Saccharomyces cerevisiae S288C: one gene and its partner. The protein of the gene in region 2 purifies or fractionates together with the protein of the main gene of each other region. This does not show direct contact. Each region holds a gene or a part of one and is shown on either strand. Other genes may lie near its edges.

Evidence for each region.
Region 1: the proteins of CDC31 (region 2) and YGL140C purify together in Saccharomyces cerevisiae (affinity purification with mass spectrometry, with the first as the bait; one large-scale study listed by BioGRID). This does not show direct contact.

Annotation. Positions count from the first base shown.
Region 1 is NC_001139.9:240,832-247,163, forward strand, and holds YGL140C (uncharacterized protein), read right to left. Parts: upstream 4,182-6,332; coding exon 522-4,181; downstream 1-521. Other genes in the region: ubiquitin-ubiquitin ligase HUL5, read left to right, coding at 1-254; FLC3 (putative flavin adenine dinucleotide transporter), read left to right, coding at 4,885-6,332.
Region 2 is NC_001147.6:809,347-812,315, reverse strand, and holds CDC31 (centrin), read right to left. Parts: upstream 1,309-2,969; coding exon 823-1,308; downstream 1-822. Other genes in the region: HNT3 (DNA 5'-adenosine monophosphate hydrolase), read right to left, coding at 1-645; TRE2 (putative zinc metalloprotease), read left to right, coding at 1,633-2,969. UniProt on the Saccharomyces cerevisiae protein: Functions as a component of the spindle pole body (SPB) half-bridge. At the SPB, it is recruited by KAR1 and MPS3 to the SPB half-bridge and involved in the initial steps of SPB duplication.

The DNA of each region.
Region 1 (6,332 bases), on a different chromosome or scaffold from region 2:
TGAATGAGTTTAAGTTTGAAGAGAAATTGAATTTTTTGAAATTTGTCACGTCCGTTCCGCAAGCTCCTCTGCAAGGCTTCAAGGCATTAGATCCAAAATTTGGTATCAGAAATGCAGGGACAGAGAAATACAGGCTGCCTACGGCATCTACCTGTGTTAATTTATTAAAATTGCCAGATTATAGAAACAAAACAATTTTGAGAGAGAAATTATTATATGCAATAAACTCAGGCGCCAGGTTTGACTTATCATAATTCCCAGAAGATTAGGGAGGTAATTAATTAATAGGCAGATTTCTAGTTCTTATATATTACTATAGATAAGGAAATTATACGCTTGTATGCAGAGATAATTTAAGTTTTGCTTTGTTCGCCACCATTCTAGTTATGACCTTTATCTATCATTCTATTTTTTATTGGAAAGGCTTTACAAAAAACAAACAGTAAAAATTCTTTAAGCGAAGTGAAATCGACAATGAATATGAAATTGGTAATTATCTTACATTAGGACTTTTCAATATCTTAGTCCTTCTTTTCTTTCATGTGACTTAGCACCATTTTCAAAGCTAATGGCAAATCATCATCAGAGCTTTCATCATCATCGTTCAGATAATTAGGATCCGCATTACCAAGGGTGCTGTGTCTGCTTAAGCTTGAAAGTTGGCCGGAGGTAGAAGTAATGGAAAATGCTCTATTTCTAAATGTCTTTGGTAAGCCATCCGCGTTTTGGCCTGCTTTATGAGAAGCAATCCGTAATAAATTCAACGCTGCCGGATTATCATTTTTTTCGTATGCCACTGGACATTCCGGCTCATAACTTCTTGTGGAATCAGGAGAAATTTGAGATTCATTAGAATTTGTACTTTGTAAACTTTCATTTCCTTCGGAAATGATGGAAGTACCATCAAATGGGGTCCGATTGCGCCGTGTATTCATAGGATTGCTTTTCCCGTTAATGAAATTATCAAATCCTGTTACTGCCTCTGCAGCCCAGTCCTCGTAAAGTGGACGCGATAAAAACCCGTATTTAAACTCATTTACACCGACCAGAATTTTAGTTAAATTCAACAGCTCTTCAATATACTCAATTATTTCTTCCGATGCAGCACTAGATGCGTTCCAACTTAAAAATTTTTCTTTTAAAACATATTCATGAGGATTAGCTGTTGTGTTGGCCTGTCCCCTTCTATTCATTTTCATTACCAAACCTTCGTTATCATCGTCATCTTCATCCTTGCCGTCAGCGTAATCTCCTTCATTTGGCTTTCTTGCTTTATCACTTAAATTTGAAATCTGCCCAGGATATCTTATTCGCAGAGTTTGGCGCACTTTATTAATCAGCCTTCTATGTGCAATTCTTGCGCTGGGCAAAAATTGCGGTAACGGGGTCTTATTTATAAATGCCTCTTGAAGTGCTCTCATTAGGCAAGAAATACTTCCAACCATTTGGCGTCGATATGGATATACAACACTGTTAAATTCTTCAATAACCGCACTTCCATTTTGCTTTCTCAGCAAGGAAATTGTATCTATCCTCTCTATTATTTGCTTCTGAATAAATATAACTTGAGTGAAAACATTTTCCAACTCGGTATATTCACCCTTTAATCTCGGCTCTTGTCTGGTTAGTCCTTTATAGGCCGTAGCACGGGCTAACGCCTCTTTAGCACTTTTTGATATCTTTTCGATTTTTTTGTATTTCTCTTCACTCATACTACTTGCGACTTGCTCTCCTTCCAGTCCGGTGGCGTAGAGAAGTTCCATTTCCGATATACAGCCACAGACAAAAGAAATCTCTTCATTTAATTGTTCCCGTGCCTTCAATGGAAAGAAAAAGACTTGAACTATTAATGCTACCCCTCCACCATAGCCGACAGCTAAACATCTCTTGGCGAAACTAGTCAATATATCATCTTGGGAGGGAAGTATTGCTGCAAGCATAACAATATAAATACTAATAATTTCAATAATTGCAGCCTTCACATAGGGTGTGCCTAATAAATAGTAAAACCCAGGAATGGCTCCAAAAACTGTGATGACTGTCTCCAAATATGGATTGGTTTGGTTGACAGCAGCAACATAGGAAAGATAACCCCAGGCTGCTCCAAAAATAACCCCCACAGCACGCAAAAAGAAGACCCAGAACGTACCTCCTACGGAAGGTTCCAAACAAAGTATGCACACGAAACCAATCCAGGTACCACGATAGTCTATGTACCACTGCCTTGTCTTTGGAATAAACATCGGAAATGAAGCCAGCATTAATGCAATGGCTACCTGAAATCCAAATCTAAAGTGAGGATGTGACACTTCACAAAACTTATCAATTGAAATAAGCATGGACATAAAAGAAAATCTGCCTTGCCTCCTGGAAGTTCTATTAGTTCCGAACGTAGTTGTTTTCGTTAACGTTAATGGCGACGAAGAAGTGTCAGAGGTAGAAGATGAATTTCCTTTGGGTTCACTTGTCATTGGCAGATCTAGCGATGCATCATCTTTTACAATGTTCTTATTCGATGAAACTTTTTGAGATAAAAGTTCATTCTCTTCATAATCAGGCCTTCTAATAACTGTGTCATGAGCAAAACCATTAGTATTACCATTGAACGTACCCTTTAATGTATCATTTTCAGTCACTGAGTTCCTATCGCCTTTTAACCAGATAGAAAATGTCTCGTAGTTGGTCAACACTAAAAACCAAAGTCTTTTGCCTCTCAGCCAGCCCTTCTTCTCTTGTATTTGACGTTTGACTAAAATGTCCTTGACGGACTCCATAATTACCAAAGTTGAATCTGCAGTTTGCCTAAAATTTAGTAGAAAGCTAGACAACAAAAACATTTCATCACTAGGACTCATAATATCAATATCAAAACTTAACATTTCTGACTTGAATTTTGCTTTACATTCTTCTAACGCCTGCTTCAGGTCATTGATCTTGTTCTGGATGTCAACATCATTGGGCAGATTATTGGCGTTATTACTGAATGTTGGGAAGTTACCATCTTTGAACATTGAGCAGGAATGAACCCTTGAAACTTTCACATCAAATGCATGAGCAAGTACCAACTTTGCTATGTACATGCATTCACTCATTGTCCGGTGTAGACTATAAATCACTGGATGCAACTTGTCAATAACTTTCAACAACTTCTCAGCATTTGCAAAGCTGATTTCTTTGTTCTTTGGCAGTGTCAAAGCTGCGACATCATCAGGCCTGAGCTTGTTATCATGTCTTGCCAATAAAATAAATTCTAATTGGCATGTATTAACTAATCCATTAATGAAGACTGTCAAATTTTCCAAAGTAGATATGATTGGCTTTAGTTTAGTTGGCGAAACATAAGCGTAAGTAAACTCATAAATGCACTCGTGAAGTACTACTCGACAGTTGTTAACTTTAGAAGAAATCAGTGACTTCATCTTCAATAGCTTGCCTAACGAAACAGGATCTCTACTGTACAACTGGCTACTATTGTGCGGGTCAACTGCAATGAAGAAATTTATCGAATAGTCAATGGACTTATGGAGCTCATTCATAGCATCAATAGTCGTATTACCCAAATATGTGGTACCCCACTCAGGAAACAACACAAGATTCCAGAAAATCGACATTGCAATACCCAGGTAGAAAGGCGTACTATAAGCTTTAGCAATAGTGCCTGCTGTTTCATTCAAAGGATCCATAAATGCGAAATGAACCACGACAAAAAGTGGGAAAACAATACCAAAGTAATAGTGTGATACAGATCTCATCCAACCATGAAAAAAAAGCATAATTACTTCGAAAACAGCCAAAATTGCTAATCCCGCTTCATATCTTTTATAGTGCAATACGTGCTGCTGTGCCTCTGTTAGCTCATGCCAAGAACTCCCTAAACATCGCTGCGCAAGGAACCGGCCGAAGATTGCGTAAGCTAGGCCAAATATCAATCCAGTTATGCAATAGATAGCACCATGGATAGTACCCCCGACCCTTCTTCCAGGGTGAACAATAACAGAAATCATTGGCAGCATCGCAGGAGCTGCTCCCAAATGCGCAGTTATCTTAGGTATCAAGCAAAATATGAAAGCTACCGTAGTATTAACAGTCGATTTACATATTCTCTTCGCGAGGATTCTGTCACAGGGGAAATAATACAGCCATAACTTCTGAATCTTAGTCAACTTTGATTTAAGCGACATGGACAAATAATGAAGTCAAGCAATTGATGCAAAGGATAAGGAAGATTTTCTCGCTTGAAAATATGTTCTCTTCGAACTCCAGGATAGGATAGGAATAAAGTAAAAATAGTGTATGATACGTAGTTAGGCCACAACCACAATTATAACCTCTCGATAGCAGGTGTTAATAGAGATGAAGGTAGATCCTGGATTTCTCTTTTCTTTCTTTAGACATCAAACTGGTAGTTCTTATCAGTCTCAGCCTTTTGAAGACCTATCAATTTTATGAGGAGGGTAATGGTTGCTTCCTTTTCCCTAGCAGCGGCCCATCGCTTTAGCTTCAAATAGTTGATTCCTTTAACTGTTGACTATGAAAAGGTAGTCTTCGTTGGGATTGGGGATAAAAGAATATCTGAATACTGTTGCTGTCCGTGCCATTTACTAGCTTACGGACGCTATCAAATTAACTCAAAAACGCTTCTGTTCATCCGCTTTCCAGAAGATCAACGCTCAAAAGACAACAAAACAATTCGAAGACGTCATTCGTTATAGAGTGCCAATCAACATTGGTGGGTACTAGAAAACTTCTTTGCAAAGTATAGCTAAGAAAGGTCTTTTTATTTACGAGCGGGCCATAAATAAAAAAATTTCAACAACAACAACAACAACAACAACAACAACAACAACAAATAGTGGAGACTAGAAAAGTATACCCCTCACAGGCATGAGATTTCTTCAGGTTTATAAATCATCGGCATTAATTGGACTAATAATATTGTTAGCCAGTAAAGTAAATCTTGCAGAGGCAAAAAGGAAGCTGGTAGCCACATCATTGGTCACATGTATGGAAAACTCGCAGCTGTCAGCAAATAGTTTTGACGTTGTTTTCAATCCAGACGACAGGTCATTACATTATGATCTTGATATGTCAACTCAAATTGATTCATATATTTTTGCTGATATTGATGTCTACGCATATGGTTTCAAGATCATTACTAAAAATGTCGATCTTTGTTCAATCAACTGGAAACAGTTTTGCCCGGTTCACCCAGGTAATATTCAGATCGACTCTATTGAATACATCTCCAGTGAGTACGTAAATGAAATTCCTGGTATTGCATACCAAGTCCCCGATATCGACGCATATGCCAGGGTCAAGATCACCAACAATGTGAGCGAGTACCTAGCATGTATCCAAATATACTTCTCAAACGGTAAAACAGTTTCTCAGATTGGTGTAAAATGGGCAACTGCAGTGGTAGCGGGAATTGGTCTTTTACTATCTGCCATCTTATCCACTTTTGGGAACTCTACCGCAGCCTCACATATTTCTGCCAACACAATGTCACTTTTCTTATACTTCCAATCTGTTGTCGTGGTTGCCATGCAACATGTTCATCGAGTTCCGCCTATTGCAGCCGCCTGGGCGGAAAACTTGGTTTGGTCAATGGGGTTAATTAGAATCTCATTCATGCAAAGGATTTTCCGGTGGTATGTGCAATCCACTGGTGGTACGCCTAGCTTATATCTGACTTCAACATCTATGTCTGTTTTGGCTCAAAGAAGTTGGCAATATTTGATGGAGCTCCCATTAATCAAAAGAGCTACCAATGTTTTGTATGGTAATGCAAATACATTAATTTTTAGAGGAATCAAAAGGCTAGGCTATAAAATGGGAATCGAAAATACGTCCATCGTTTGTACCGGTTTTACTTTCTTCGTCTTATGTGGATATGTGTTGGCTGGATTTATCATAGTATTCAAATGCTGTGTGGAGTTAGCCACCCGGTTAGGATGGATCCAAAAGGCAAGGTTTTGGGAATTCAGGAAACAATGGAGAATGATCTTAAAAGGTGCTCTTTTAAGATATATTTACATCGGTTTCGTTCAGTTAACAATTCTCAGTTTTTGGGAATTTACTGAAAGAGATTCACCTGCTGTTATCGTCATCGCATGCCTTTTTATTCTTTTGTCATGTGGGTTAATGCTTTGGGCTGCATGGAGGACTGTTTTTTTCGCAAGAAGATCTGTTGCATTGTACAACAACCCAGCAGCCTTATTGTATGGAGATGAATATGTCTTACACAAATACGGATTTTTCTATACAATGTTCAATGCCAATCATTACTGGTGGAACATTGTTCTTTTATCCTACATTTTTGTAAAATCATT
Region 2 (2,969 bases):
CTCGAAATGGCTATTGAACTCTAGTTCTAAATGCTTTTTCAATAAGCTAAATTTATTACTAAAATTTCGCTGACAATAGCAGCAAAGTAAATCGTGTTCTTTCAGGTACGTAGTTTCAATTTCCTTGTCAGTGCCCAAATTTTTTCCGTTCAATGGTAAATCGTCCCAACTAATGAAGAATCCAGTATTAAATGAATTATAATGTTTTTTGTTCTTCAATCTTACCGAATGGAAATCTTTGGATATGACGTGTATATGTAAGTTGGCCATCGAAGGCACGCTGTGTATCCCAACTTGTACAAAATTTCTTACAAACTTGTTTTTGTCTTTTAATATGTCATCCCAGCAGGGGTCTTTGTCATCATCACTCTTCTTTATTCGGAACTTTTCTTGAAAATGCCTAAAGATGTGGTCAATCGCAGAATTAACGTATGATTCAAACTCATTCTTAAACTTAGCATCAATCACTTTAGTAGGATGACTTCTACTCAGCTGCATAGTTCGTGGTAGAATCAATAAATGGCACTCTGATTTAGGAAACGAGTCTCTAATTATGGACACTTTATCATCAAAGTATGTGACTGTATCATCGTTTACCGTTTCTGGGCTGGTAACGTAGTTTTTTAACGCATACCTCCATGACATTTTTCAGTGTTTTGTTTTATTGTCTTCTCTTATTGTTGCCCTGCAGGATTAGATTGGCTTTTTCACTTTTAAGTGCATCCTTGGGCAAGATGTAAGTTAAAACAGAAAACGAGAGACCCACGGGAGTATACTAATATAGTTACAAATCATTTTTATAGATTAAATATATAGTCATAATTAACTATCGGTGCAAATAGCTATAAATTCGTTTTCATTAATCTCGCCATCACCATCCAAATCAAACTCTTCAATCATCGCTCTCAGCTCTTCATCCGTCAAAGTTTCTCCTAATTCTTTAGCTACACGCCTCAAGTTTTTAATACTTATTTTCCCAGTATGGTCGTCATCAAATAATTGGAATGCCCTTTTTATTTCATCTAACGGATCTCTCTTCAATATTTTTTCCCCCATTACAATATAAAAATCATCATACTTCATCAAATGCCGCCCCTCACTATCATATTCATCTATTAAGTCAAGTATTTCTCTCTTGGGTAGCTCAAATCCCAGGGCCTTCATTGCTACTTTCAACTCGTGGTAATCGAGGAACCCATCATTGTTCATATCGAACAATGAAAACGCCTCATATATTTCTTGCTTTTGCTCCTCCAATAACTCGCTATTAAGTGGACCAGACTGTAGCGATGACCTGTTCTTACTCATACTGTATGATTTATTTCCGTTTCTTCTTTGGTTCACTTCCTTTCTCGTTTAATAAATCTCTTCCATACTTACTAATTAGGATTCTTCTTTTTTTCTCTCTATTTCGCAATAGTTAAGCCTCCAAAACTCTTGGAAATTTAGTAGATAAAATTACGGCATCAGGCAAGAACTAGTTAAGCAAGTACTTCCTGCATCATTAAAGTTGTTCTTTTCCTAAACGCCTCTCAATACTAGAGAAATACATCAAGCTTTGGGTTATTTGAAATCTGTAACTAATTTGCAAACCAAGATAATACCCCCGGGTATTGAGATCAAGTAATTTTAATGAGGAGCAGTTATCAACCAGTGTCAACTACAAACTTTGAACATGAAAATGCTATACCTACTGCGTCGTCGTCCCATAATCTGTTGATGAGCCAGCGTTTTGATGATTCTCCTCCTAGTTCTAACGACAACAGTATAGAAACTAATATAACGCCTCCACCTGAACCACCTTCTTATGAATTTGATATAGAGGACCCTCACGATGATCTTCACAAAAGAACACATCTACAGAGGGTTTCAATTGGGTTTCAGGAAAAAATTTTGGAACCCTTAATGGAAAACATCATTCATCCACTCTTACAAATATCAAAATTCGTTCCAGACAAAGCTGACTATTACTTAAGTAAAATCGGAAATCCCTTTATACTTCGAAGGTTCTTTTACATCATTTTCATGTCATTTATTGCATATTATGTCTTGTCAAGTGGCTACTTATTCAACGAAAAGGCATCAGGATCTAAAGGGATGTTTTCTCAACACGATATACTTTTTGAATATGCCAAAAAATCCGTGGATTTGGCAAAGTTTGAGAGAGATTTGGAATATATTAGTAGCATGCCTCATGGATCCGGAACGAAGGGTGATGCAGCTATTTATCGATACATTCAGGAATCTTTTGACAACAATGGGTTGAAATTGGTTAAAGAAATGGGATACTCAGTTTATTCTAATTATCCAGGCAATGTATCAATTTCATATTATGATAACAAGAATGAAAAGCATGATCTAGAACTTTCTAAAGAAAATTTCAATCCGTTGAGTTCTAACGGGAAATTATCCAAAGTGAGCTTGATTTATGGAGGCAAAGGTACAACATACGATTTACAACATTTAAAAGATTCGAAAACGATAGAAGATGGGAAGGACTATGTGCTTTTACTGCAATATGATAAATTAGTGAGTCAGCAAGTACTAATTGCTGAGAAATTCGGAGCTAAAGCTGTAATCTTCATATCTGAGCCATATGGTGAGAATATAGACGTTGTTCAATCTAAGCCTGTAGGATTGCCCCAATATTCGACTGGTGATGCATCAGGATTGAATTGGGATGGTTCTCCTGTAGAAGAAAAGGATCATAAATTTTGGCGTCAAACTCATATTCCAACTATCCCAATCTCCACGAGACAAGGAAAAGAGCTACTATCGCGTTTATCTTCAGGAGGAGTAACGGTTGATGATGGTAATAGTGATCGTAGTAACAGTGGGAAAATGGGAGACGTATTGATCGATGTAGATCTGCAAACTAATGTTAGGGAAAAGCATTTTATTCCTAATATTGTTGGTAAAATTGAAGGGAGAGAACAATCAGACAAAGCTATAATAATTGCTGCATCGAG